Linked DNA regions of Arabidopsis thaliana. The protein of the gene in region 1 interacts with the protein of each later gene in a pairwise test. Each region holds a gene or a part of one and is shown in the gene's direction. Other genes may lie near its edges.

Region 1 (8,626 bases):
GATACGTTCTGAGGCGTAATATGTTTGGTTTTGATATCAACAAAAGAGGCACTCCTCAAGGAGAAGTTAGAGTGTATGTTTTTCCTTCTTAGATTTGTCTTTGTTTAGTTCTCAGATTAGTGTTCAGCGTTTTTCTAGAAATGGATGTCTCTTAGATTTGATTTTTTGTATAGGAGGAAAACTATGAGATGTCTCATTTTCTGATTGATGTTCTATGGATGTTTACGCTTGATTTGATCTCAGGGGACTTAAAGTCTTTTGATGTGCTTATTTTCAGCAATCTTATTTCTTTGTAGGCCTGAGTCATTGGGAATTGTTGTCGGTATTGTCTTCTTGATAGTGGCGATTGTATTTCAGTTCTTTAATTTCACTGAAGATTCGGTGGTAAGTGTCCTGGTCTCAAAAGCTCAAGCTTGATCATTTATTTATTGTGAACTATGAACTTGGTAGCTCTTGGCTCATTTACTTTGAATGCAATTTATCAATCTGGCTAAATGACTCGGTGCAGTGGCTTGTGGAGTATAATGCAGCACTGGCGTCTATTTGCTTCATGATATTGCTTGGATTTGTAGATGACGTCCTTGATGTGCCTTGGAGAGTGTAGGTGCAGTTCTCATTTTGTTGGATTAAAAATTCATGATTTAGTTTTGTTTTCTTATTAACTCTTGTCAATTTGCAGGAAACTTCTCTTGCCATCTTTTGCAACCCTTCCACTGTTGATGGCTTATGCTGGACATACAACTATCGTCATACCGAAACCTTTAGTTTCTTATATTGGCTTGGAAGTGTTTGATCTAGGTACAATTCATCTTGTATATAGTGTTAAACCATCAATAGCTATTTTGAAATTCATTTCCTTAGTTGTATATTTATCGTGGCAGGACGTATATATAAGTTATATATGGCGCTACTGGCTGTCTTTTGCACAAATTCTATTAACATTCACGCTGGTTTGAATGGCCTTGAAATCGGTCAAACCGTAGTTATTGCAGCTGCTGTAAGTTCTGCTGTCAAAATGCGTCGCAATGCTTCATTTTTTTGGTCCCATTTTTCCTTCTGTTGGTTTCTCGTAAGTAAAGTTATGATAAATCTCAGTAACTTGTAGATTCTGATACACAACGTTATGCAAATCGGAGCATCTGTTGATACTGAGTATCATCAAGCTCATGCCTTCTCAATCTATCTTACTCAGCCATTGATGGCAACATCCTTGGCAATGCTTGCCTACAATTGGTAATCTTTGGATCTTTCAAGTCATTTTCTCTTAAATCAATCAGGTAAACTAGCAAAGCAGAATGCTTTCTCTAACCACGTTCATGTCCCCTCTTTGGTGATGTTAGGTACCCTTCTGCAGTTTTTGTTGGAGACACTTACACAGTCTTTGCTGGAATGACTATGGCAGTTGTTGGCATTCTCGGTCACTTCAGGTATACTTCTAACCATACCGTCCTTATTGCAATGTACTTAGATTCATCATTTACATTTAACTTATGTGTGAGCCTTCAATTAACTAACTACTTATGAAACTTTGCTTTTTGCAGTGAAACCCTGTTAATCTTTTTTCTTCCTCAAGTGTTGAACTTTTTACTGTCACTTCCGCAGGTTTGATACCTTTCTCCATCTCACACTTTCTGTTACTTTTCAATACATTTGAAAGCATCTAACTTGCTATTGTATAACTCTTCAGCTTGCTGGCATTGTCAAATGTCCACGACATCGTCTCCCCAAGTAAGCTATTTTTTGTCCATTTTTCATAAGAGGCAAAGCCAACAAGTAAACAACACATGACTCTTCCTCTCTCTTTTTTAAACCAGGTATGATCCTGCTACGGGACTGTTAACAGGAACAAAAGATGGGACACTCGTGAACGTCTACTTGAGGATTTTTGGTAGGAAAACAGAAAAGTCTCTATGTATTCATCTTCTTGTTTTCCAGGTAAACTTGTTAATGCCCATATTATCATCTCTAAATACAAGTTGGTTTATTCTGAGAGAGAGAAATCACAAGATTGGTGTTTTGTGTGTTCTATTGCAGGCTCTTGCTTGCGCATTTTGTTTCATGCTTAGGCATTTTCTAGCTGGTTGGTACAAATAAATCTCTGCAACATGAAGAAACTCTAAACCTGTTCCTCTTTTCATCTCTCTCTCTGCCTTCACAAATCATACAAACACAGAACTTGTTTTGCTTCATGTCCAACAATCTACTAGAATCATCGTTTTAGTTCACTTATATAGAGAGTTTTCATCTAAAGGCGAGTGTATCTCAACAATATAAAGCCAATGAAATGAATCAGAACAAATTTGTCTTGGAATTTAAATTTAACTACAAATGCTGATCTTATTTTGATAACTTTGATTAATAAACTAAATAATTTTTAGATTAAAGTTTTGCTAATATAGCATGCATTAAATGAAGTGTCCATTTACATATATTTTTGAATTTTAAAAATGCGCTTTTAATATTAGACAGACTACTGTCGTACTAGAATAATAAAGAATGTAATAAAAAAATAGAAGGAGAATCGGAAAAGAAACCCACTTATAGAATGCCATGTGTCAAAACATAACAAGCGAAGTATGTTTATATAGTAAGAAAACTCTTTTGCCCTAAATATCCCAAATTGTCATATGTTCTTTCCTTATGTGGCTCTCTCTTCTCTTTCTCTTTCTCTTTCCTTTTTCTCTTTCGATCAACAAAACCACATCTCTGAACTGAACCAATTTCTCTTCTCCCCCTTCCGGTTATCGGATTACCAGATCTCGTTTCCCGCGATCTAGTTTATTCTTTGAAAAAGGTAAATGTTCAATTTTTTTATTTTATTCAAAATCTCCCCTGGATTCAGGAGATGATGATTTGAAATTGACGATGATGTTTGTGTGTAAAAGTGATAGAAGCAGAAATGGGAAGGGGCAAGATCGCGATTAAGAGGATCAATAACTCTACGAGCCGTCAGGTTACGTTCTCGAAGCGAAGGAATGGATTGTTGAAGAAAGCTAAGGAGCTTGCGATTCTCTGCGATGCTGAGGTTGGTGTCATCATCTTCTCCAGCACCGGTAGGCTCTACGATTTCTCCAGCTCCAGGTACCTTTTTTCTTTTCTCTTTGGTTGACTTTTTTTTTGGGTCTTGGTCCATCTAATTGGTTGATTGATTGATGTAGCAAATTCTAAATCTCGATTTTTTTTTTTCTTTCTTAAGTCGATTTCTTGTTAATTGTTTGCAAATTCAATTGCTTTAGAGAAGGAATCGTAGATCAACTTAGTCTGATAATTTGCAGAAGAAATCACTTGGTTTGAATGATAATATGTTTTGTAAGGGGAATATGAGAGTGTGTTCTCTGTGTTGTTGGAGATGATTACGATATTTGTGTGGAACATAGATTGTGAGGGACTTGTGGTGTTTATTGAAACATACTAAATTTGGTAGAAACTTTATCAGAAGAGGAAAGGAGGGGAGAAAGTGGTTAGTGGTTGAAGAAAACTCTAAACTCTAGAGAGGATTTAGAAAGAATCGTCTCCTTTTCACTGTTCATTTACTTTATTGGCAACTAGTTGGTGGGTTTGATGTACCTAAAATGAGCTGCATTATCTTCTCTTAATATATATTGTTAGTACACAAGTGGGGGAATCATTTCTGATTTCGTTGTCATCCATAATCAAGTTTTTGTTTTTTTAATTCTTCAACTTGGTCATTTGTTAATGATATGTAGGAGTATAGTCTTTCTTTTTGGGAACATTTTGCGATTTGTTAGAAAAATATTATATCTTCAATCCTTTCTGAATTTCTACTTTAGGAGTTCATTCATTTCTTTATTTGATTGTATCTTTCGTGTTTACATAATTGTTTATTAAAAAAGGTTGAATAAAATCTGGCTCTTAGATCTGTTTCAGAGGGAGAAAGCTTCCATTGTTCTGCAGAGCTTTTGTTGTTTCTCTGTTTTTTGAACTGAGACTCTGTTTTTTTCTTTTTTTCTCTTCAATAAAGACAGCAAGATATCTATACTGTTTACTGATTAGAGTTGGCTCTATTTACATCAATTTTGTCTGGCTTCTCTCATTCTCTGCTTAAACTTCATACATTATGTTAGATTTATTGCGAATCTGTAGTTGGGGTGCTGAGAATCCTGTTCCATGTAGACAGAGATGGCTTAGGGTTAACTAAATCTATTTAAGTAAGAAAATTTGACACTGAAAGATGTAAGGATAAATGTTGCAGTGGATGTTGCTTGGGTTACATTACCTATCAACCACACTCTACAACTATGAAACTACTCTCTTTTTTGGCAGCATGAAATCGGTCATAGAGAGATACAGCGATGCCAAAGGAGAAACCAGTTCAGAAAATGATCCCGCTTCAGAAATTCAGGTACTCCTTTTTTTTGTTACTCCTCCCTATGGATTTCAACGAGTAGACAAAACAAGTAACATACTACAACAGAGAGACTGTTACTCGATTCTTGTACTAATATGTTAGCCTATTACAACTCATTAGCATTTCTCAACTTTTAATTCCTCTCAAGCTGATCCTGATATCTAATCAGAGTTGCAGACCATAAATACCACCACACATCATATGTTGAAGTAGGGTTTGCAGTTTGCTATAAAACACAAGTCATGCCACCTGAACATCAGATTGCATACATAGTGTTGCATTTTATTTTGTCAAGAATCCGTTGTAGACTAGATAACATATTTATCCGAAAACAAAATACTTGTTTACAGTTTCAAACACCTGAAAATCATTTCTACTATATTCTAGTTCTGGCAAAAGGAGGCTGCGATTCTAAAGCGTCAGCTACATAACTTGCAAGAAAACCACCGGTATGTTTTGCATCCTCTGAGTTTGTCAAACACTCTCGATAGTAGTAACAACTAGAGCAGGGAAATATGTACTAAAATGCAAAATGATAACATACGTGTAGTCCAAGGTTAGAAGATTTTGCAGAACCCAAAACTATCCTACCATTTGCATTTGCTTAGTAAGGATAGTCGATATAAAGAATAGTAAGCCAAATGGATTAAGAGTTGTATACATAAACACATCTAAACCATCCATAAGAAGGAAATAACCAAACACTTTCACACTCCCCATCGTTTTCTTGTTTTGCTTTGGTGAATTAGGAAATGTATATAGTAACTCTGGAAAAGTATGCATATTCAGAAGAGCTTGTACTTGACAGGCAAATGATGGGGGAGGAGCTCTCTGGACTAAGTGTAGAAGCTTTACAGAATTTGGAAAATCAGCTTGAATTGAGCCTTCGTGGCGTTCGAATGAAAAAGGTTTTGATGCTGTGACAAATAAGTCAAATTTTGGAACCATTTAGAAGAAGTAATGGATGTACTCTATCTACGCTCTTCTTTTGCCTTTTGCAGGATCAAATGTTAATCGAAGAAATACAAGTACTTAACCGAGAGGTGGGACTATGGTTACTGTGATATAGGTTTTAGACGTTTTCCATAGTGTTGGTAAGCACATTGCTAATTCTTTTTTTATTCGGTTGCAGGGGAATCTCGTTCACCAAGAGAATTTAGACCTCCACAAGAAAGTAAACCTAATGCACCAACAGAACATGGAACTACATGAAAAGGTACCTTTGGGTTTTGGGAAGTATCTGGGAGCCAAGATACTCTTTAAAATTGCTAGAACATTTTTTTCTTTCTTATCTGATGATAATATGTGCTTATTCCAGGTTTCAGAGGTCGAGGGTGTGAAAATCGCAAACAAGAATTCTCTTCTCACAAATGGTCTAGACATGAGAGATACCTCGAACGAACATGTCCATCTTCAGCTCAGCCAACCGCAGCATGATCATGAGACGCATTCAAAAGCTATCCAACTCAACTATTTTTCCTTCATTGCATAATATAATTCGGTGTGCCAACACACTTATGTTGACCTCGTCGGAATCATATCACAATTCACTGTGTCAGCTTGCCTCTGCATAAGCGAAAATAAAAACATAAACATGATCAGTTTGCATTCCATATCTATCAAACACCAGCTTTGTAACTTTTAAAACTTTTTCTCCGTGCAAAGACCTTTGGTTTGGCGCTTAAGCATGTAGTTTGATGATCAAAGGAAATGGGTGTTTTAGCATAAAGTTGTCACCCTTCCGTTGCATTTTAGCTTCCCATCCAAATCAATTTGTAAAATGTGAGTTAGTTTGCAGCATGAAAGCTGATTAAATATCAGTCCCGTTATCACAAGAGGTAAACAATGAAGAGCCACAACATTGTAAGACGCTTAAATAACTAAAAAGACCTTAGTATACTTCTGGTAGATTATCATGGTTCATGAGGAATAATGACGAGACGAAAATGTTTACCAAAGAAAACTTAAAACCGAAGTCGTCTTAAAATTATTGAAAACATAAAACCGAAAATGCATGGAGAGTTTTAACTTCTTCCTTTTTTATTCGTAGGTAATTGTTCTTTCTCTGAGATATTCGAATATTTTAAGAGCTATGAATATTTTAAGGCTAGTTTTAGATCCATATATTCTACAAATTCTCTAGAATATGAAAGTGGACAATTTTCAAAAGTCCATTCTTTCAATTATCTCTACTTTGTGGACTATTTTGACAGATTTCTTTCTTTTCGTCTAAAAATACAAAAGACCATATGTTTTTGAACTTAAATTTATATCACTAAACTAAATTGTGTCTTAAATAACATCTCAAAATTTATTATATTTTTTTCTCTAATAAAGTAAAACTCCATACCTTACACGTTATTATATGCAATGTGCCTGAAACTTAAAGATGATTGAACTTATGGTGTCAAAGAAGCGGTAAGGCTAAATAGTACCATTTTCGGCTCGTCTATAAAACGAGACGAAGATTTAAGTCAAGAAATTGATTAATTTCATCATATCATATGCTTTGAAAAGTTTAAGAATGTGCGTTTTCTAAACAAGTTGATTGCTAGTTATAATATTGAAGAGCCCTATATTGAACTGATGAAGTAAAAACGTACTTGACTTTTCTTATTTTTCTGGTCTCATTAGTCTATTCCTTACTATTACAATAAGCTCCCATACTCTTAGGAAACCTTTACGATACAAGTCATTTATCTCATATCGCTTTATCGTGAAGTGTCTTCAAGGATATTAGTTGAAATTGACAACATACTTAGGCTGTAGATTTGGAAGAAACAGTCCCCAAAACTTCTCAGTCTCGGGACCCTGCTTCGAATTCTCATCGAACATAGCAAATATATAAGTCTCTGTAGCTCTCCCTGGTCTCCTCGGAGATCCATTTTTCACAGTTTGTATCAAATTGTTCACATAAGTTCTCGCATTATCCACACCCGTCGCTGCTCCTCCCGCTGTCGGCCAACCACTCTCGGACACCACGATCTCCAACGAACCACCTCCAGCTTTCTCTAATGATGCGTAAACAGTGTCTAAGATTGCGTGGAATAGGTTTCGATATTGGTTTTGTCCGTCATTGACTACAGTTGACGGTGCGGTGAACAGAGTGTAGTCTAACCGGATGTCTCGCATGTTTCCCGTGTAGCTGAAGTAAGGGTAATTATTCACGAGCAGAGGAGATTGCTTGCTTGACAAGAAACTTATCACCGGTGCGATAAAGCTCCTAAACTCCGGTGTGAACGTCCCACTTGACGGCGGAAACCCGGAAATGCCTCTGGTGTCTATAGCCGTCGAGACCTTGATCCCGAGGCTTGAAACTGCTCTCTCTATGTTCTGCATCGCGGGGAGGACAAAGCTCGCAGCTTGGTCTGAGGGCTGTACCTCGTTCCCGACAGAGATGTAGCGAAATGTGACGTTTGCATAGTTGCGGACGTTGTTGCGGACCCATGTGTCGGCTTCCGCTTGGCTGGAGGCGAGACGCTGGAGATCAGGGTTTGGAACATCGAGCACGAGCTCGATATTGGAGCCGCGGAGAGCGTTGAGAGTCTCCTGGTTGGGATCGTACAGCCGCATCCGCCGGATGTTCCGTTGTTGGTAAAGCGCCACGACTTCGGACGCGGGTCGCAGGTTGTTTCCATTTCTCCCGTAGCACACTCCGATTTGTCCAACTTAAAATTCAAAAGAAGAATCATTAGTGAAAAGAATAAAATTCTGAAAACGAATCAGAAAGAGACCAATGTGGTATAATCAATAGGTTAAAAGAAGATTGAACCTGCCGTGTCGAAGAAGGAAGCCAATATGAAGCTGAGAAGAAGCAATAACAGTGGTAATGAGGCTAAGAAACTGGATCCATTACACATCTTCATGATTAATGTTAAGCTTGCAACTTTATATACTAAAATCGTAGCATTTTGCACTAATTTATAGAAGGAATGGAGGGATTCAAGTCAATGAATGAAACAAAGTCATCGCGTCATATCATCATAGTTTTGGAATGTTATACATTAAATCACCGTTCATGAATATCTCTCTAAACCTATGCTTTGAAAAGTCTAAGAATGTGAGTTTTCTATACACGTAGCTTTCAATAGGCCTAACTAGCTAGCTAGACACTAAAATCTTCGAGTTAATTGGAACGAATCCTCCAGAGCCCCAAAATAAAATATCCACTCTTAAATATTCAATGAATAATATAACATTTTTGAAAAATATATAGGCCGGATATCAAACTATCTTAAGATATTAATTGAAATTTCT
Region 2 (7,871 bases), on another chromosome or scaffold:
TGGGAGAAATGTATCAGTAGGATTCTGAAAACTCTGCCAAACCACATTTGCTTCATTTCCATCACTAATCAACACAAGATTACCATTATCCATCAGCTTTACCATTCTCTCCGCAGATACTGAGGAAGGTTTAACACCGGTGTCCCAATACACTCTTCCCTTTGAATCAATAACTTCAAGATTCCCATCTTTAGAGATGGTGAAAATGCAGGAACGGTCAAGAACCGGAGATTCACGATTTGCAACCCAGACAACAGTCAGTGGATGTAAATTGTAAAACCAAATCCCTAAGTACCTTCTTTCGTCGGAGCTTCCATTAGGAGTGAAGAAGCCAAGCTCAAATCTCTGACCAGCTGAAACAAGAGTCTCTCCATGGCTGTCATTGATCAATGTTGAACCTTTGAACAATGTTTTGGAGTCTTGAACTGCAACAAAACAATCTAATCGACGAATATGCAGCAAAAACATATAGAAGAAGACAGAAAGAATCATTCTCTGACCAGTACTAGCTTTTTTTTACTCATCTGATATCTCCATTATTTCTGCTTAAGAACTCAACTCAAAACGTGTCTAACGAAAAAAGAAAAAGTTTGCCTCAACGTCAACGAAAGACCCACCTGAAAAGTAAATATGTGGAACGCAGCTAATCATGTGTTTTAAGATGTTTCCAAGAAAAAGCAGAACAAGTCTCACTTGAGCATCTGAACCAAAAGCCATGAAAGTAGTAGATACTATTTACACTCTCTTAGCCACTGTATGTAGATACACATGTGACCAATTCACGCACTTTGTGTCAACTTTTTCCGCGATGGATCTCTAAATAGTTCAAAAAGATCCAACATTTTTTGAATAATACGTACTTTTAGAGTATTTTTTGACAATGAGAGAGACATAGGGGTACCTAAACGTGAATTACTGGAAAAAGGGGACAATGATGTTGAAGAAGTCAATCTTTTGTCCTTATTGGTGCTTTCGAAGAAGTGGAGATTGACCCTGCAAACATTGTTAACCAACTTTTTTCCGAAATTATTGTGAGATTCGAGGAGTTTTGACAAATGTAGGACTTTTGTCGTTCAAAAGAAATGTTTTCATCTAAAACGCGTAAACCTGTAAAAGGCAGCTTCAGCTCTGATTAAACAAAGAGACTTGCAACAATGTCACTATGAGACATTACTGTTTAAAAATAGATTCAGAAACACTAATCAGTTTTCACACTAAAACAACTTTGTCTTCTGCCTTGTTTGTTTATTCCTCTGGATGTTTCATAGATATACCTTTAACAGGGTATAGCAGTTTCAAGTTCATAGATGAAACCCTTTCGCTCACAAATATTGTTTTAAAGCCTTCTTTATGAGAGTTGGATTGGTTCACCACATAGATTCTCTAACTCCTCTTCCAGGAGTTTATGCAACTTTGCTTCAGTTCGCCGATATATCCACGCATTAGCATCACGGTCCCAGTCAAATCTAGAAGGGCCACTGCACCGAGACAAAAGGAAGAATGAAGATTACATTAATGTGAATCTAAGATGTGGAAGCACAAAGTCAAGAGCAACAACACTATACAGTCATAAACAGTTTCATTTCTCCAAATATCATGAGTACAAAAATCAGAAGAGAGAGCAGAACATGATAATCCAGATGCGAAATTCAATCTAGGCGCCTAAAGTTAGCAACTTTCAAAAGGCAAGAAAGAATCTTTACCTCACAGGTGAAGACATCCAGATTTGTCGATTTGGAGTTTGCTTATTCAGTACATAAGTGCCTAAAGATCCAAGCTTAAGGGTAAGAACTTCATTCTGTTGGAAACAGCCAAAAGGACTGACTATAATAAGTACACATAGATTTCCAGAAATATGAACAAGATCTTAAATTGCTTAAAAGAGTTTAATCCTTACCCCATAATCTATGTCGAAACCATCAATCTGAACATTATCACCATAATCCTGAACATGAATCATGCAAGTAGAACATAGTGTAAGCTATTGCAATCTCAAGTAAAACGAAGAACCCTAGAGAGAAAAAGGTTCCAGCTTCAAATACCTCAATTTTCTCAAGAAGGTGATTAATTGTGAAGTTGGCTAATTTGTGAAACTCTTCCTCCTGCAAAACCGAACTGTTTTTTTCTTCCACTTTGTTCATATTCTCATGAAATTAACGATTCAGATACAATAAAGGAGATCAAAATGGAGAATATTAAAGTACCTGTAATCGACAGAAGCAGGACCTTGAGAAGAGAAGCTTCTGGTAGTCAAAGAATCATGGCGGATTCGAGATCCTATTCTCCAGAAGGAATCCAACGGTTCTATGGAATCTTGAATCAGATTGCTTGAAACTCTTACGCCATTGCTACGGAGAAGAGTTGGAGACAGCTTGAGAAACCTCGGCAATTTCCGTAGAAGAAACCTTGAAGCTGTAGCCATGGCGGTTCTGTCACAAGAAACATTCGACGCCTCTCTTCTTCTTATTCCTTCGTTGTCCAATTTAGGCCCACAATAAGGCCCAAATTTAGATTTACCCGGTTCACGTATTTCCCATGTTCCGGTTTACTGAAACCGGTATGGTTCTCAAGAGATTTGTCATTTGTGTGCGAAGAAGAGTTTTCTTCTCCTCTCATAAGAAAAAACCAGAATTTTGAAGAAGGAGAAAGAAAAAAATCTGGGTTTTTGGGAGCTGATTAGGTTTTGTTCCTTCAATCTCTGGGAATTTTCGCTATGCACTCAGGTGAAATTCGTTTTTTCCTCTATTTCAATCTCTGTCTTCCTGCGAGTTTACGTGAGAGAATAGTTTTTAATGATCCCGAGTTCGTCGAATTACAATGCAACTCCCAGTTTTTGTAGTTTTAATTAGCGAAATTCATCAATGGCATTGGAAATTTTAAGCCTTTTTTGGTTTGTTTTATGGTACTACTAATTATTCAAGCTAAGGAATTCCAAAGTTTTCGTTCGTTTTGATTGGGTTTAGAAGTATTTGGCTGATGAGAGAAAGAGCCATAATTCTGAAATTAAACCCTTTTATGTGAAGCTTGTGTAGATGTTTTACCTGAATTTCGGAATTACTAGCAACATTTCTAAATACACAAAGCATGATTGTAAAATGAAATTGATTTTGGTCAGGGCTTTGCATCTCTTGGTTATTGAATGGTGTCCGTGTTTCACTATTATCTTCTTATGTTTTTGATTTTTATGTGCTATTTTCGATAGATTCAGGCGAAGCGACCGCTGATGGCGATAAAGCTTCTACAGAAAACAGCAAAAAACGGAAGCTTAAGACTCCTATGCAAGTTATGGCGCTTGAGAATTTCTACAATGGTAAATTATGGCTTTGTTGTTTGCATATGTTCCTTTATACCAAGTTGTATATGCTTTACAGGTGTGATTTGGTTTTTCTACAGAGCATAAGTATCCGACTGAAGAAATGAAGGGCAAGTTAGCAGAGGAAGTTGGATTAACTGAGAAGCAAGTTTCAGGTTGGTTCTGCCATAGAAGGTTAAAAGACAAACGTCATGTAAAAGAAGATGGGAATGCCATTGGGAGCCAAGATCGGTCAAGCGTTGTTCTTCAGGATCGTGGAAGTGGGCTTCGACAGGATTCATGTGGTAGTACAAAGCAAACGGATTATTGGAACCCCAAGCCTAGGGAAGTTGAAAGTCAAAGGCTTTATATGGGAAATGCTGATGGTGAAGATAGTACATCTTCTGATCGTAGCTCATCATTACGTAAGAATCTTGTCTCTAGCAAAGATGGAATTCGCGATGTGGAAAGTTCTAGATATGTTGCACATAAAGACGTTATTCAGCATCCTCAGTTCATGAGAAGCTATGGGTATAATAAGCCTTCGGGATACTTGAAAGTGAAGGGAGAGAGTGAGAATTTTGCTATCACTGCCGTAAAGAGACAATTAGGAAGACAATACCAAGAGGATGGTCCACCTCTGGGGGTTGAATTTGATCCTCTTCCTCCCGGTGCATTTGAGCCTCAGACTAATCCTATAGTTCACGGTGAGTCATGATAAAATGTTTCAACTTTACCTTTAATTTTCTGGTTTATGATGTTATGAGTATTGAGTAAGTGGCTCAGAGAAGCTAAAACCATCTTCTTCGTGTGTCAGATTGTGAATGCCTTTACCCATGTCCAGTCGGATTTGATTGCTTTTTCTATCAACTGTTTTGTCAGAGCCAATATATGTTGGGAATCAGAGACGGCCTCACCTTCCACATTTACTTGGAACGAGGAAGAGCTTTAATCCTGGTCCTGTAAGTGAACATTTTCTGTATACTACATACCCATGAAGATAATATAAACTAGAATCTTAGTCTGCCATCACATTCTTTGGCTAAATTATCTTACTTTCTTTGAAGTATTATTAATATTTTCGTTTTCTGTCTTAATGTCTTTATAGAGCTATGAATTAGCTCGTAAATCAAAGTTGCATTCGCCAGATCCAGATTCAGAGGATGATGAGCATGATGATGATGACAACATAATGGTTGGAATGGAGCCTGGTCTAAGAGATAAGAAAAGTTTTGGGGAACCAAGACTGAAATCCCCTTCTACCAGTTTCTATAATTCTGTACCTCGCCACAAATCGTTTAAAGAGACATTCAAAGGTTCACCACGGGAAATCCCTGTAACTAACAGCAAGAAGGGTTGGATAAGTTCCAAAAGTTGGGCTGAAGGGTCGAGAAACCATCTGGTTGCCAACGTCCAAAATCTTTCTGGAAGCAATATTGAAACCAATCAGTCTCATGATTATGATAATAATATATCTAATGGCGGACGCAAGACGGGATATCTCACTAAATCTTCGAAGCTGTTACCTCCGAGTAGAAGCAGATCCCCTGAGTCAATGGATAGAGGTCCATCTTCTGGGATGGTAAAGATTTGTCTAATACTTCCATGTCTACATGTTCCTTTCTTGCCCTTTTATGGAAATATGACTTGTGTTTTGTGTGATATCTTCTTTTAAAGGCAGGAATATATCACGGGGAGAGGAATCAAATGAAAATGCAGAGAGAGAAATTGCATTCGACTGATGAACCACCGGTGAGTTTGATGGTTAACTATCTTAAAAATATAGATATTGATGTATATTTTAACAAAGTTTAGAGGCTCTATCAAGTTCGTGTTCTGACCTTTAACGAATGTTAATAGGTTGCCAAACGAGTGAAACATGGGTATATTCAGCAAGTATATGCACCAAAATCATCATCATACAGCGAGATTCTTGAACGAAAAAGCCAGATAAATCGGTTAGTAACCAACCATTGTGTAATGCATTTATTGTCCCAAAGAGATATCAAATCGGCTTATTGGATCATACTGTTATGTTTGTAGGTCTGGTGTGGAACTGCCTTCTAGTTTAAGCGGGGACGATGAGACTGACGAATCTAGCTCGTCAATGGATTAAGTAAAGAAAGGTACAAAGGAAGATTAGGAAATTCCGGTTTGTATAGATATATGATGAAACCGGTTTAGGATGTGAAAATGTTGCATCGTGTAATTGGTAAAAGTTAGAGCTCTCTTCATTTTGGTAACTAAACGGTCCCCAAAGAGATACAGTGAGCCAGTAATGAGCCTTTTTTTGTTTAAATTTGCTCCTAAACCGTTACCGGTTTGACCGAATTGAGTATGTAAATCCCAGTGATTACAAAATAACCAAAGTAAGGCCCATTTATTAATAAAGCTCAAATTAGGCCCAAAATATTATGATAGTCCGGTTTAGTCGTAAAAGGCGGTTCGGAAATGTGTGACTAGGAGATTTCGTCACATGAGAAAAAATCAGAGCCGTTGACTAGTTTTCGTAGAAAGTATGTGGTACAATTTTGATTCGGCCAAAAAAGGTTTTTTTCTTTTTCTTTTAGGGTTAGCGTTGCTTTGCCTCAAACTCAAATTTTGAAGATAATTTTTTTGGTTTCTCTGCTACTGATTTCGAATCTTTACGCTTAATCAATTATTCATCTGGATTTTCAAATCCAATCCTTTTCCTCCCTGGTAAGAATCTCTCTTCTTCTTCTTCTTCTCTCTCACGACGATTCCACTGTTCTCCGATTCTGTGTTAGTTCCTGCGATATTTTCCATCACTTGTTCGTGTTTCGTTATTACGGGTTTGTGTTTTGTGAACTTGTTGACCTTTGTGTCTCCGTAATTTCGTCCAACGGTTGATGTTTTTGATTGCTGATTAGATTTTTGTCGGTAGGTATTGAAAAAGATGATCTTTATGGATTTTGTTTTCTGTTTCTTCTTTCCTTTTTGTAATCTGACTTGCAAGCTTTTTGCTTTTTTTGTCGGTCGGTGTTAAAAATTGTTCCTTTTCTCTTGTTCAATTGTTTCCTCAGGTGACCAAGTAATTGGGGATTAACAAAGGGACTGGGGCTTTATTAAGCTCGAAACAATTGTTCTTCACTCTGGCCGCTTCTGCAAAGTCGTGTGCTTCTCGCACCTCTGCGCAGGTGTGGGGTGGCCTTGAAGTGGTGACTTCACTCTGTCTTCCAAGGATTTCTCTAGCTTCTATCATTTGGAGGCTCCGTCGTGTTTCTGAGGGTCTTACCCTTGATTACGGCTAACATTTACTACGCCCACTATACCACCTCTTAAGCTTTTATAAGAACTTTTTATTCGTGCAAAAACTTAACTTGGATCTTAATTGTTTCTAGTTTAGTTGTGGTTGTAAAGTAAAGAACCGTTTTTTTGTGGTTTGGTTTTGCTTTTTTAGTTTCCGTTGGTGATGTAGTTCGATGTTATTAAGTTTGACACAATGGTCAGGTTTTCATGCTTCAACGCTCACATCCACCGCCATAGACCTAAGGTAACTTGAACCATCATTGCCTCTTGTGTCTTTAGAACGATAGTTTTACATTCTCTGTCCAAGACTCCTTTGTCCAATAAGAGAATGCTAATTTGTTTCTATGTTCTGGTGATGCAGAAATCTGTTGAAGGATTTTCAGAACGAGTGATCAAAGAAGATGGGTCTAAATCAAAAGGATTGAGCTCAATTATATTTGGGAGAAACATTGCTTCTGTTAGTGAAAACAGCAAGCCAGCCGCTGTTGAGCGTGTCTGGAAATCTGAGGAAATTAAGCCCAGTGGCATTCTTGAGCATGGTATTGGGACGCACCAGGTACTGCATCTCAAGAAAAGTCAATCTCATGGAAATGAACTATACTTGGATGGGCGGGATGCCACAGAGAATGGAACAGACGATGCATCAGATCGGATTACTTCTCCGAATTCTCTTGAACAACAGAGTGGTATTCACGAGGCAGGCAGCAGCAAGCGTGTAGATGAAAGTCCTAATCTGTATCAGCAAGGTCCTCGAGCTTCTGTTTCTGCTTACCAGGGTTCAAATCAAGCACTCTGTGGGTCTATTTTCTCGGTTGGAGATCTTCATCATACTGATAAAGACAGCCGTCAACTCGATGATACCTCCTTATATGGTGAACAGATGGACAACTCAAACAGTCAAACACCTCATGATTCACCTTTGATGGTGAGGTCGAATTCATTGCCTAATATTGCTGACTCTTCATCAGAGAAGTCTTCACCTTTCAAATATTCTTCTCACCACTCTAGATCCTCTGATGACCTTCATGCCCTCGACACTCGCCAAACAGATAAATCTGTCCATGAGACTGATGAAGAGGTGAAGCAAGAGGAAGATCAAGATCGGGACTATGATATGCATAATTCTGGAGATAACAACAAGGAAAATCTCGTGGAGGATGGATATGATGATTCATATGATTATTCTTCTTTGGCAAAAGATTGGATCGTACCACCAACAGATGAGCTTAAATTATCAAAGTTCCTTGAAGGAGAAACAACAAACCAGCAAGCAGAATTTTCGGGAAAGGATTCTAAATTCAAGCGTATC
Region 3 (8,064 bases), on another chromosome or scaffold:
TACACAAAAGATCAAATAAATTAAACGTAAACGATAATTCCAAACAGGTAACTTCCCATTGGTAACCAAGATCACAGCTGGACTCATCGCAGGAGCCGTTGGATCAGTCGTCGGGAATCCTGCTGACGTGGCGATGGTGAGAATGCAAGCCGACGGAAGCTTGCCGTTAAACCGTCGCAGAAACTACAAGAGCGTCGTGGACGCGATCGACAGGATCGCAAGGCAAGAAGGCGTTTCAAGTTTATGGCGTGGCTCATGGCTAACCGTGAACCGTGCCATGATCGTGACAGCTTCTCAGCTCGCTACGTATGATCACGTCAAAGAAATCTTGGTAGCTGGTGGCCGTGGAACGCCGGGAGGGATAGGAACGCATGTAGCGGCGAGTTTTGCGGCGGGGATCGTCGCGGCGGTGGCGTCGAATCCCATCGACGTTGTGAAGACGAGGATGATGAATGCGGATAAGGAGATTTACGGTGGACCGTTGGATTGTGCGGTGAAGATGGTGGCAGAGGAAGGACCAATGGCTTTGTACAAAGGGCTTGTTCCGACGGCGACGAGGCAAGGACCGTTCACGATGATCTTGTTCCTTACCTTGGAACAAGTTCGTGGTCTGTTAAAAGACGTTAAATTTTGATTAATTTTTTTCAAGTAGTTAGGTTAATAAATGTTTGAGATTCCCATATTTCTTCATACATTTCATATACGTTTAAAATATTTTGAAAATAATTATATAGCGATTAAGGTAATATTTACTAGAGATTTTTGTATAAAAATAAATTATTTATTTGCACAAATATTTTTTTTAGTAAATGCGAAAACTGATAGTGATTGAAGCAAAGGGACTTTTTCGGACGGTCCAAGTCTCTTGGACTTGGGGGATATACTTTTGCTGGGGACCTTCATTTGGTATATTCCTTTTTTTCTTTGGGTACTATGTTCTATTTTCTTGGTTGACAGAAAATATGAAATATCGCTTCTAAATTACAATTTCTTTTGTTTGTTTGTAAAAATCTAAATTAGAAATTATGCAAAAAATTATAAGAAAATAAGATTAACAATAATGTTTTTCTTTTATTGACTTTGATCATATTATCTCTATAAAAGAGAAATAAAATCTTTCTAAAGTTTTTTTACTTGAGTTTGAAGCTGGTGGCAATTTGGTGTTTGTTTTATGAGATTGTATAAGAGTTATCCAAAGCTGAGACATGGCCCAAAATAAGTCCAAGGCCATGTTTAGGCTCCATTTTGCATGGCCACTCCACTCATCTAACCAAAGCCCAGTCTCAATTATGTGAACTGAAATTTCTATGTTTTGTTTTTTCACACTGAAATTTCTATCTAACTGTCTTTCTTTTAACATGTTTCAATGATTTGCTTCCGAATAGAACACATAATAATTGTTTCCTAAAATTTTAAGAATTTTGAAGTACATAGTAGGCATTTGGGTCCACTGATCTCACACGGCAACGACTATTCTCAAATCTCATATCACATCAAAATAAAGAAAAAAGATTCAACGAGAAATTAAAATCTTTAGAAAAAATGTTCCAAAAAGAAAAAGAAGTCATCAAGGCAATTAAGCACTTAATTCCCTGTGCATTTTTTTAATCATTCACTTGCGTCTCTTTCTCTTTTTCTTTTTTTTTCTTCTTTCACCAAACTTGCTTACCTCTTTATTCGTTTTCTTTTCTTTCTCCTATGATCATGGAATTTGGTGGATGCTCCAACGTTTTTCACCTCAATCACTTATTAAAATATCATGTACAATAGTTCGTAATTATATATGAAAAAACGAGTGGGCTAAATTGGTGTTTTATAAGCCACGTCAAAAATATTGTATTATTTAGCTAGCTACTAAACTAGTCAAATATGTTACAATGTATATAGTTCAATTTGTATCGCGTCATCGTAAAGACATAAATGTTCCAAATCATCCCACCCACACACCTAAAAAGAAAGGTTAATACTTTAAAAATAATGATTATAGAAACCACCAAAATGGTTAAAAACTCACTTCCACTATTTGGCTCATAATTATAAAGAAAAAACGTTGCCCCCCCCCCCAAAAAAAAAAAAAAAGTTAAAAAGAAGACGAACATATAATGGCTTTACTTTAACGAACTACTAAGAAATTCTCACGTTTATGATATTACATAATTATTAATTTATGGCTTGAAATTATGGATCGCGAGGGTTTGCCATTATACATCATAATTACATATATTCTACGTTCCACCTCCTCTACTCCTCGTCCCATTGCAACCATCCAAACTAATAAAAATATTTAGATTATTTCTACCATTCAATTCAAAATTATATGCATTTTAAATTATACTATATGTATTTTCTAAAATAAATTTAAATTGAACTGAATTAAATAAATTTAATTTTTCTTTATAAAAAATATGTGTTAGAAATATGAATTGAAACTCATACTAAAGTGTATTTTAGTTTTAATTTCTACTAAAAAGAATAGTAAAAAATCAAAATAATAAGACTATATCCAATGTTCAATTCTATTTTTTCTTCTATTTTAAAATTGACTCTATTTTAAAGGTATTTTATTTCATTGTATGACTCTAAAATAAAGTTTTCTCTAAAATAGAAAACAAATATAGAGTAAGTTGTCTTTTGTTCTATTTATAGAGTAATCTCTACATTTTTCTTCTATTTTAGTAGTAACTCTATTCTAAAATATATAATAGAGTAAAATTAATTATATTTCTTCTTAAATTGAGTTAATATTAAAATAGAAGAAAATAAAGTTGGGCAATGGAGATGGTGTTATGTTTTGCTCAAATGAGTTTTTAGAGTTGATGTTCCAGCTTGGTTATCTAAATTTTGGAAGAGAAAGAAAAATGAAAAAAAAAAAAAAAAAATCTGAAATAAACTTGGTTGATGTGAACTGTTTTTTTCTTTTTCTTTTTCTTTTCCTGGTCTCCATTATTGACGGTAAATAAAGTGGTGGAAAAGGGTAAAATCGTCACAAGAAATAAGAAGATGTATAAAGCAATGTCACACACTTCAGTCTTCACGCCCACTTTTAGTGAATTTGCTAAAAATATATTTTCGAAATAATATTCCGCTTTCTCGTTTCTTATCCGTTCAAGCTTTCGTGAATTCGTCTCATAAACCTCTCCACTCTCTCTGGATCTCCACGCATAGATCTTCCTCTGTTTTCCTCCATGTACGCTTCTTGGATTCACTTAACCATTGTTTGTCGCTGTGCTCTCTCTGTTTTTTTATTCCTCGAAAAAGTTGAATTATCAGCGAATTTGATGCAAATGTGTTTAAATCGTTACCAAAACGGATAAATTCTTCTATTTTCGTAGCTTGGCTTGCAAAATCCAAGCTTTTAGTTCTTGATTTTGCTAAAATAAATTATACTTGTTCAATGCTGCAGAACATGTACTTATCTTCTTCTGCTGTTTATGGTTTCTCTATCCTTTCAATTGTTGTGAATGTTTGGTTTCTTTGGTTTGTTATTACTGGAATTTGATGAGATGATTCTCTGTTTTGTAACAGAATTCTTCTCTCTTTCTCTGGATCACAACAAAGCAGTGAATGAGAAAAACAGCATGAGTTGGTTCACAAGGTCTGTTGATGTGTACCGTAAAGTTGTGAGCTTGAATCTGTATTGCCGAGTTATTCTGTAAACTTTTTCTCTGCCTTGAAAAACCCCATCTTCAATCTTCTTCTAAATCCTCAGCCTTTTCTAAACTCTTTAATAATGGGATCCCAACGTTTCTACGTTTTCCACTGTGACCAGTATAGGATCATCTAAACCCTTAAAGCTTCTCTTTTTCTTCTTCAAGTCATCTGTCTTTTGGTGACTTACTCTGTTCTGTGGAGAAACACTAGTTTTACATTCGAGAGTTTGGAAAAGTTATTATTATGGTAAGTCAATCAGCTGGTCAAACAAGATTTCGAACATTCAAGTACGAGAACAACGGAGACTCTAGCAGACCAACAATTGTAGTGAGAGTTATTGCTTGCTTCCAACCGATGGATAATTGTCAGGTTTGTTGCAGCAAAAATGATATTATACTCTTTTTTTTGTCACATTTCATCTCATAGTCCTGTGTTTCTTATCTAACACTTTTGTCTCTGTTCCACTTGCAGGCTGAATACTTTAGACATATACTCAAACCAGTGACGTAGTTGGTTTGTGAGCTTGTGTTTGTATTTTTGGAGCTGGCACCTTTTTTCTTTTTGTCTCTACTTTCTTATACGATTGTTTCAAGAAAGAATCAACAAGTGTTGCGTTCCACACATTTGAGCAACAGCTTCCACAATCGGTATGCTAACTGAATCTTTGACTCTTTATGGATTATTGCTTTCTTGAGTTGGGCTACTAGTAGTTGTCTCATTCATAGCCATGTCCAATGATTAGTCCCTTTCCTTTTTCGTGCAGTATTGTATTCCTGTAAAGTTCCCTTGGCTTAAACTGCAAGAGCATGCCTCTTGATACCAAACAGCAGAAATGGTTGCCATTAGGCTTAAATCCTCAAGCTTGTGTCCAGGACAAGGCGACTGAGTATTTCCGTCCTGGAATTCCTTTTCCGGAACTCGGTAAAGTTTATGCAGCTGAGCATCAGTTTCGCTATTTGCAGCCACCGTTCCAAGCCTTATTGTCTAGATATGATCAGCAGTCTTGTGGAAAACAAGTTTCATGTTTGAATGGGCGATCTAGCAACGGTGCTGCTCCAGAGGGGGCACTCAAGTCTTCTCGGAAAAGATTTATAGTATTCGATCAGTCGGGAGAGCAGACTCGTTTGTTACAATGTGGATTTCCTCTGCGGTTTCCTTCTTCTATGGATGCAGAGCGAGGGAACATTCTCGGTGCCCTACACCCAGAGAAAGGGTTTAGTAAAGATCATGCCATTCAAGAAAAGATATTGCAACATGAAGATCATGAAAATGGCGAAGAAGACTCGGAAATGCACGAAGACACTGAGGAAATCAACGCGTTACTGTATTCTGATGATGACGATAATGATGATTGGGAAAGTGATGATGAAGTAATGAGCACTGGTCACTCTCCATTCACAGTTGAACAACAAGCGTGCAACATAACAACAGAAGAGCTGGATGAAACTGAAAGCACTGTTGATGGTCCACTTCTTAAAAGACAGAAACTACTGGACCATTCGTACAGAGACTCATCACCATCCCTTGTGGGCACCACTAAAGTCAAAGGCTTATCAGATGAAAACCTTCCTGAATCAAACATTTCAAGCAAACAAGAAACGGGTTCTGGTTTGAGCGACGAGCAGTCAAGAAAAGACAAGATTCACACCGCTCTGAGAATCCTGGAGAGTGTAGTTCCAGGGGCAAAGGGAAAAGAAGCTCTTTTACTACTAGACGAAGCCATTGATTACCTCAAGTTGCTGAAGCAAAGCTTAAACTCATCAAAGGGTTTGAATAACCATTGGTGAAAAACCTACAACCCCTTTTGTCCTATTGATAAGGCATGTTTGGTTGGTTAAAGAGAAGACATGGGACAAAAGATAATCAATGAGGTAAAGGACTGATGAAGAAGATTCTCTCAAATTCATTAACGTGGGTTTGAAACAATTAGAACACGCCTGGTGACCCTAGTGGGACCGTATCCACTGTTCATCTAGCTGGATCAATAGTGGTTTACTTTTGGATTTGGCATGCTCTCTCAAAAAAGAACCAAAAAAAAGTCACTTTCTTCTGTGCTTGGAGTGGAAGAAAAGTGAAAGAAGGGAAAAAAGCAAAGTCTTGGTGCTCATTGATCGTTAATAATTATCTTTACTCGTGAGTAATAATAATATCTCTGTGAAGGTCTGGTGGTGGTGGGTGTGGATGAAGAAAAATCAAAAAGGCAAATATTGAAATTTTTGGAGTGGTTGTGACTTGTGGAAATTGAAATCTTCCCACTTTCATTAGGTGAAAATCTATGTCCCCACTCTCTCTTGTCTCATTATTACTCTTCTGTTGCTATCAATCCCATAACTTGTCATCTTTTTTGTTTTTTCTAATCTCTCTGGCTCTTAAGCTCTTCAAAGGCCTTGTAGTTTTGTACTATTGTAATGTTATTTGCTTCTGTTGTTTCTCTCATGGGTCTAAACATGTTTGTGTATCATGTTCATGTAATAAACTCGAGTGTTAATAATGGAACCTTCTTTGGCTTCTTACATGCTAGGATTTTGCTCTAACCTTTCAAACTATCATTTTTTCTATACCAAAAACAAATTTTGTAGACTTATTATTAAACAACAACCATACAAGAAAAACCTCCACAATCTATTTTTTGTTGTAAAATTTGGACTTTTTGAAATTTGACGTTACATATGAAATGTTATGGACCTTGCCTAAGGAAACACATCTTCCGACTATGCAGCAAAATCTTCTGGTGAGGAAATCTATGTGTCTCATGACCTCCCACGTAAAGAACAAAAAGATATTTAAGAATCACAGTGAAGAGAAGAAACCTCTATTTTATTCATCCACCATGATTAATGAGCTTGATCTGATTCTTCTTGCTAAGAGCATAAAATTTTCACCAACTTATTTCTCCATCTTAAGATGATCCTTCATTCTCCAAGCTGCATTTGTTATGCACCAAGATCAAGTGAAAGCCGCTGGCTATTCCCTCTAAACCAACATCTCGAAAAGCATTCAAGATCCTCAAGCAAGCAGAAGCATCAAACTCTGTCGTTTTAGACTCTTTCCACTGATGGATAATCTCCTCGGCTTCTCTCAAATGACCAAGCATTAGATAAGATGAAAGAACACAAATGTAGCTTCTACTACTCAATATCTGGTTGGTGTTTCTCAAAGACTTCCAAATCTGATCTATCATAACCTTGTTCCCTAGACCAGTGTGCAGAATCATAAGGAAGTCATATGTGATCCATTCTCTTTGCGAAATAGATTTCTCAGCTTCGACAGGCAAAGTAGACTCTGCATTAGTTACTCTACTACTGTTTATGTAGATGCTAGTAAGATCGATATACCGAACCCAACCCTCATTGGAACTAGCATCATGCCTCATCTCTTCAAGAATCTTTCTAAGCTCATCTATATTAAAGGTTGCAGCACATGAACTTAGCCACAAATTATAAGTAAAAATATCCGGAGAAACCTTTTTCTGCTTTAACACTTCAATAACCTCAGGTACTTTCTCAACTTGCCCAACTGACATGTATAAAGTCATCATCTCGTTGTATGTGATGGCACCAAAAGTGAGACTATCACTCTCAATGATTCTCTTGAACAAGGCCTCGGCTCGTTCGGTTTGTTTGGAGGCAGCATAAGCATGAAGGAGAGAAGTATAGGTTTCAGCTGTCTTTGAATCTATATCCAGACCTTCAAAGTAGCGTTCAGCTGCATCGATCCCGAAAACTTTTGAAATCAGATCTATGCGTGAGGCGTAATCAGCATCTGAGATCTTTGATTCTTCATGCTGTACCATCCACTCTGTAACCTGTTAATAATACTTGAATTAGCTCCCAGAAGAATGCAGTTTTGTGCAGCAACACATAACAAATCATAAATTGTGCAATCAATCTAGAAACTAGGAGCTACGAAGAAAAACCAATGAAAAAGGAAATGATCGATGTTAGTACCTCAAGAGCGTGCTTGTAACGGCGAGTTCTCCTAAGCTCTTTGGAGATCTCTCGGAGTTCATTGATAGTCATTTGATTCCCTTCTCCAATCCATTTCTCGAGAACAGTAGTCGCGCTACGTTTCGGAAGTCTCAATCTGAAAATCCTGCTCTTCAGATCGTCTTTCTCCTCCGATTCCTCGACAAGGGAGTTTCCGATTGCTGCGTCAGCATTGTACGACTTGGAGAATCGTGACGATTCGGCGTTTCGAATGAAATTGCTTCCGAGAACACCATTATTCGTCAATCGACTAAATTCATAAGAAGCAGTGTGAATCAATTATCTCAGGAAACAAATACGAAATCAGTAGGAGACATAGAGAGGTGGAGGGAGACTCACCATCTAAGACTATGGAAGAGCGAGCGAGTCGCCATGAATTTTCAGTTCCGACTGAAGAGACCAAAAAGATCTAAAAACCGATCACTTA
Region 4 (5,676 bases), on another chromosome or scaffold:
GTTGTTGGAAATGTCTAGAAACCCCAATTCGTGTTGGGTTCTTACGAACTCTGGAAATTCAGTGATACCGCACCCTGACAAGTACAAAGATTGTATCAATTGCGAAGGAGGATCTGAAACTGAACTTTTGTTTGTGGCCGAAACATGGTTGCCTGAGAGATCCAATAAAAGGAGCCTTTTGAAATATGATAAGAAATAGTTCAAGTCGATCCTAGTGGTGGTGTTCAAATGGGATATGTTTAGATCTAGGAGTGACTTGAGATGGGAGAAGATACTAAAGTCAACTGGGCCTTGGGTGTTTAAATGGGAAATGTCAAGTCGGAAAAGTTTGACTAATTTGGAAATGGAACTAGGGATTGGTCCTATGAAGTTGTTGTTGCCAATGTCTAACTCATATAGGTTAGATGGTGAAGATATATTTCCAAACTCAAGAGTGCCTTTGAGTTGGTTACCATTCAAACGAATGTAAGTCAAAGAAGGAATGGTGAAGAGAAAAGAAGGGAACGTTCCGGTGAAGGCGTTGTCACTTGCATCAAAATCCATCAAGTTGGATAGTGAAGTGATATTAGGAGGAAGCGTGCCTGTGAACTTATTGTTGGAGAGTGATAAAAGTGACAACCCTGTCAAGTTCAGTAGGACATTGGGAAAGTTTCCGCTGAGCTTATTGTCATCAACATATAAGCGGGTCAGCTGGTTTAGATTGCCAAAAGAAGATGGGATTTCACCAACGAAATTGTTACTAAAGAGGCCGAGAAAGGTAAGTTGAGAAAGGTTTCCAATAAAAGATGGAATCTGACCCGAAAAATTGTTATTAGAAAGGTCGAGAGTGGTGAGATTAGAAAGATTTCCAATTGAAGATGGAATCTGACCCGAAAATTTGTTACTGAAAAGGCTGAGAGTGGTGAGATGAGAAAGACCTCCGATAGAAGACGGAAACTGACCAAAAAACCGATTATAAGAAAGATCTAGAAAAGTGAGATGAGAAAGATTACAAATTGATGATGGAGCCTGACCCGAAAATTGATTATCAAAAAGGTTGAGATAGGTGAGACGAGAAAGGTTTCCGATTGAATTCAGAATCTGACCCGAAAAATGATTAGAAGAAAGGTCGAGATAGGTGAGATGAGAAAGATTTTCAATTGATGACGTGATTTGACCTTTAAAATCATTAAATGAAAGGTCTAGAGTGGTTAGGAAATGAAGGTTTCGAATACTGCTGTTGGAATGAAACCGGCCATGGAGAGAGCTGCAGCTTAGGTCTAGCTCGATCACTTCCCCGGACTTGGCATTGCACGTGACTCCCTCCCAATTACAACAGTCGCTGTTATTCCCCCATGAGTCCGTCTTCCGAGGAGATTCAATGCCATAAATCTTACAATGATCAGGAGAAGGCTTCCCAATCTCAAACTCGTTTTTGAACGCGAGGAGTGCATCCCTTTGTTCGGGACGACACAAGTTCCTAGTTGGAGCCGCAAGCACGTCCAGAAAATGACAAATGAATAAGAAAATAAAAGAGAGAGTAATACGAATGATACTCTTTGAGTTCCAAAAGCCTTCCATCATTCTTAAGCTAATTTAATTTTCTTGAATATTGATAGTGAAAAAGCAAAAAAATAAAATCTGGAAATTGTGATGGTACGTAACATGTTTTCATGCCCATCTCTTTATATACAAAAATAATAGACTCTATTCCACAAAGATAATTCCAACACAGCTTGACCCTCCGAGGCGTTTTTCACGTTAAACGCAACGACTTAAAAAGTCTTTACGTTGAATAATGTCCATTTCCACTCCTTTTGTCTTACTTTTTAGTTACGTACAGGGAACATGAAAAAAAAACGTTGTATTTTGTCCAGCCAAATTAAATTGATCGTGGAAAATGAATTCTGCAGGTAAGCAATGACTTGTTCATTGTTACTAGTGCTAGTGAATAGTGATGATCGACAGCGTCAAGAGTCAATCCCCATCGATGTATTAATTTTGCGCAAAAAAAACAACTGGGCTAGGGCCCAACAATGAAGGCGGATAAAAGAAAACGAAGGCCCATTTTACCATATGTCAGCGAACTCGGAAGAGTATAAATATTCCTCTTTGTGTTTACTTAAAACTAAAATTTGGGACTATTTTATAAAAAACTAATAAGGCCGCCTAAATAGGCGGGTGTGTGATTTAGATGTAAATCTTTATTGACAGTATTCAAATGTTGAATAATAAAATAGTAATTTATATTTTTTTTGACAATTAATTTAATATTTTTTTATTTAACAAAATTTGATGCTTATACATTCTCTTTTATCATACATTTTAATTCTACACATTCAAGCTTATTGATGATATTTGAATTCTAAATAATAACCTACAAATTTCTATCTTACACATTCAATTTTGCAATACAATTTAAGTATCTATTTCATCATAATATACTCGATTTTCATTCTAAACACTTCATCTTAAGTGAATTTTTTTTTATTAAAAAAATATATTTATATCAGATCTAATATATATCTTTGTTGATATTAAAAAAATAATAAACAGTAAACAAAACTTAACAAAAAAAAAATCCACAAAAATATTTGAAAAGCAAAACTTTTTAAAATGTTTCTTTATATATGGCGTAATTTTCTCTTATGTAAACTTATTTTAAATGAGTTAAAATTAATTAAAAAATATACTAACTTCTTTTTAAGTAATTGAAAAGTAAATCATATAAGTTGTTCTCTCCAAAAATCTTGTGTTTTAACTTATGACTACATGCGTTAAATTTTTTACAATAAAACATAGTTATAAGCTTTTAGTGACATATCAAAGGATCCAAGTTGCTCAATCACCGAATACGTTAAAATTCTTAGAATAAATCTTAAATATTTAAAAATTTATTATAATAAGGTCACTAAATTTTAAAAATATTTTTGTGTTCAAAATTTAACAAATGAAAACACTATATTACAATGATAAACACAATTTTATCCAATTAAATTAATTTTAAATAAATTATATTGTTATTTTAAACTTAAGTGGTCTTTTTAATTAGTTATTATTCATACTTAATGATTTTTCTTTTAAATTAATACATGATTATTTATTTAATTGACCAATAATATATGTGTTTTCAAATTTGTTAATTTTCTTTTTTGTTAAGAAAAATAAAGTTTAAATATTGTTAGATATATATAAATTAATATATGTAAATTTTTCTTTTTAAGGTTTTTTATTTTTTTAAGAGAATTAAAAAGTTAAATCTTTAATGACACATGTAAACATCTCAATGTTAGATTTGACACGTGCCACAATCTTATGAGGTAGTAATTTTGAAAACTGTACTTTATATAATAAGAAATTAATATATGTAAATTTTTCTTTTTAAGGTTTTCTATTTTTTTAAGAAAATTAAAAAGTTAAATCTTTAATGACACATATAAACTTCTCATTATTAGACTTGACACGTGCCACAATCTTATGAGTTAGTAACTTTAAAAACTATACTTTATATAATAAGATACTGGATGTGGGAAATCGTATCTAAGATCGTATCTACAACGGTTACATTGATATTGGTAAAGGAAAATCGTATCTAATTAAGATTTATCTCATAGACAGCAAACAAAAAGGGAATTTCATTACTTAAATATCACAACGGTTAGATTAATAGAAGTAAATCATCATCATTTAACGAAGAAAAGATACTCTAAAGAAAAAGGAAATAAAACCCACAGCTCAATTTGTCTCTCTTGGTTTAGTAAAATCAATATCAAATATTATATGGAAATACAAGAATTTCACAATTCTATATAACCCTGAACCGTGTGTTAGTTACACTAAGTTTATTTTCTAGGTTTCTCTCTGATAAGAAACTAGGTATCTTCTTCTTCTTTTTCTGTGGGTAAACAACAACAATGGATTCTTCAATGTCGACGAAGAAGAAAACCAAATTGTCTGTGAGAAACCAAACTTGTTTCAAGAAATCGTCCCTGTCTTCTTCTTCTACTGCAAAAAAGACCACGAATTTGTCTATGAGAGAACAGACCATGTTCAAGAAAGCCTTGGAGCTTTCAACTCTGTGCAACATCGATGTCTGTGTCATATACTATGGTCGTGACGGAAAACTCATCAAGACATGGCCGGAGGATCAATCAAAAGTTCGAGACATGGCTGAGAGGTTTAGCAGATTACACGAGAGAGAGCGATGCAAGAAAAGAACCAACCTTTCTCTGTTTCTACGTAAGAAGATCCTCGACGACACTAAATTGTCGGAGAAAGTCTTAGAGATGGAGGATTCGTTAGAAAGTGGTCTACGAGTACTACAAGATAAGCTTCTGTTACTCCAACCCGAGAAAAACCAGACCGAGTTTGGTCAGACCCGTGCGGTTTCTTCCACAACGAATCCATTGTCTCCTCCTCCTTCGCTAATTGAGGATCATCGTCATCAACAATGGACAGAACCATTGATGAGTGGTGTGTCAAACACAGAGCAAGACCTATCGACGTCATCATTGAGTCAAAATCAGAGCAGAATTTCAGTCTTTCTCTATAACCATGACAACCGTAGCTTCTATCAAGTCCCTGACTCAGTTTCTAGCTTTGACCAATCGGCTTTACTTGGGGAACAAGGATCTGGTCTAGGAAGTAACTTTGATCTTCCTCCCATGGTTTTTCCTCCTCAGATGCAGACACAAACCCCACTTGTCCCCTTTGATCAGTTTGCGGCATGGAATCAAGCACCGTCGTTTGCAGATCCAATGATGTTCCCTTATAATTAGTTCTTGTTGTTCCAAAAACTGATCTTTGACTTGGTGTACGTTTTATAATGATCTATTATATATGTATTCTTCATTTAGATTATGAGTTTAACTGTCTCTTCTTGTGCCTGATTACGAGTTTGTATTGAATTGTATGTTTTCCCAAGTATGAATGCTATTTTCTCAAGTTTCTAAAAACAGTCTTGGCTTCTTCTATAATTGTCTGAGTCTTATATTTGAGTTTGAAAACCTGCTATGTTCAGATTTTTAATATACAATAGATATTGAAGGTTAGATGTCGATAATTTATGCAGAGAAGCCAACTTTGATGAGTCAGATGCTTTGGTGACAGCTTCCAACAAAAAATGTTGTTAAAAGTAGTGTTTTGTCCAAGAGGTGGAAAAACTCTGGCTTTGTTGGATATTTGATGCCAATGAATTTGCAGATTACAATGCCTAAGTGAGTTTTGTCTACGTATATACGCCAATAATGAAGCTATACAGTTGCTTATCTCGTTTTACCCGATTCTTGAAGATTTGAGTATTGCAATAAAGGGTACATGATAACGTTAAACCTGAACATTATATTGAAGTGTCATATGTGTGCCAAGTTAGGAAGGTTAGACCGACTAATTGAAAGACTTTTTTGAAACAATAACATTGATTTATATGAATTCAATCCTGAAACCAAACTAAAACATAAACTTAACCAAGTTAAACTCAAATCTTGAAACTGAAACTAAACTTAGGGTAAGAAGAGAAACCTGAAACAAACTTGAAACTGAAACTAAACTTAGGGTAAGAAGAGAAAACTAAACTAAACTGAAATTTCTCAAGCCAAAACATGCCACTTAGATAACCAAAACATGCAAATTTCTTAAACCAAAAACCTGAAATTTCACTAAAACTGCAGAGCTTAGAAAACCAAAACTTGCAAATTT

What was found.
Region 2: the proteins of AGL16 (region 1) and AT4G03250 interact in a two-hybrid assay, tested with the Arabidopsis thaliana proteins (one large-scale study listed by BioGRID).
Region 3: the proteins of AGL16 (region 1) and AT5G09460 interact in a two-hybrid assay, tested with the Arabidopsis thaliana proteins (one large-scale study listed by BioGRID).
Region 4: the proteins of AGL16 (region 1) and AGL53 interact in a two-hybrid assay, tested with the Arabidopsis thaliana proteins (one large-scale study listed by BioGRID).

What each region holds. Positions count from the first base shown.
Region 1 is NC_003074.8:21,174,811-21,183,436, forward strand, and holds AGL16 (AGAMOUS-like 16), read left to right. Parts: upstream 1-2,471; 5' UTR 2,472-2,794; intron 2,795-2,838; exon of another isoform or gene 2,839-2,885; 5' UTR 2,886-2,899; coding exon 2,900-3,081; exon of another isoform or gene 3,082-4,204; coding exon of another isoform or gene 4,205-4,284; coding exon 4,285-4,363; intron 4,364-4,756; coding exon 4,757-4,818; intron 4,819-5,177; coding exon 5,178-5,277; coding exon of another isoform or gene 5,278-5,292; exon of another isoform or gene 5,293-5,370; coding exon 5,371-5,412; intron 5,413-5,501; coding exon 5,502-5,585; intron 5,586-5,687; coding exon 5,688-5,861; 3' UTR 5,862-6,216; downstream 6,217-8,626. Other genes in the region: AT3G57220 (Glycosyl transferase family 4 protein), read left to right, coding at 1-73, 297-384, 509-600, 680-798, 882-997, 1,106-1,233, 1,341-1,427, 1,542-1,602 and 3 more; BG3 (beta-1,3-glucanase 3), read right to left, coding at 7,106-8,037, 8,142-8,235. UniProt on the Arabidopsis thaliana protein: Probable transcription factor involved in the regulation of flowering time in long-day photoperiod. Participates in the repression of FT expression and floral transition, by interacting closely with the FLC-SVP pathways.
Region 2 is NC_003075.7:1,422,337-1,430,207, forward strand, and holds AT4G03250 (Homeodomain-like superfamily protein), read left to right. Parts: upstream 1-2,565; 5' UTR 2,566-2,713; coding exon 2,714-2,723; intron 2,724-3,202; coding exon 3,203-3,310; intron 3,311-3,393; coding exon 3,394-3,999; intron 4,000-4,174; coding exon 4,175-4,254; intron 4,255-4,400; coding exon 4,401-4,874; intron 4,875-4,969; coding exon 4,970-5,044; intron 5,045-5,152; coding exon 5,153-5,250; intron 5,251-5,335; coding exon 5,336-5,408; 3' UTR 5,409-5,726; downstream 5,727-7,871. Other genes in the region: AT4G03230 (G-type lectin S-receptor-like Serine/Threonine-kinase), read right to left, coding at 1-492; FH (frataxin-like protein), read right to left, coding at 1,349-1,478, 1,704-1,798, 1,898-1,945, 2,043-2,115, 2,205-2,422; AT4G03260 (Outer arm dynein light chain 1 protein), read left to right, coding at 6,756-6,806, 6,924-7,871.
Region 3 is NC_003076.8:2,941,811-2,949,874, reverse strand, and holds AT5G09460 (transcription factor bHLH143), read left to right. Parts: upstream 1-3,035; 5' UTR 3,036-3,187; intron 3,188-3,525; 5' UTR 3,526-4,020; intron 4,021-4,122; 5' UTR 4,123-4,298; intron 4,299-4,414; 5' UTR 4,415-4,457; coding exon 4,458-5,438; 3' UTR 5,439-6,137; downstream 6,138-8,064. Other genes in the region: DIC3 (dicarboxylate carrier 3), read left to right, coding at 48-634; AT5G09450 (Tetratricopeptide repeat (TPR)-like superfamily protein), read right to left, coding at 6,551-7,456, 7,599-7,887, 7,977-8,011.
Region 4 is NC_003076.8:9,523,848-9,529,523, forward strand, and holds AGL53 (AGAMOUS-like 53), read left to right. Parts: upstream 1-3,893; coding exon 3,894-4,757; downstream 4,758-5,676. Other genes in the region: RLP53 (receptor like protein 53), read right to left, coding at 1-1,563; AT5G27065 (uncharacterized protein), read left to right, coding at 482-757, 820-855. UniProt on the Arabidopsis thaliana protein: Probable transcription factor that may function in the maintenance of the proper function of the central cell in pollen tube attraction.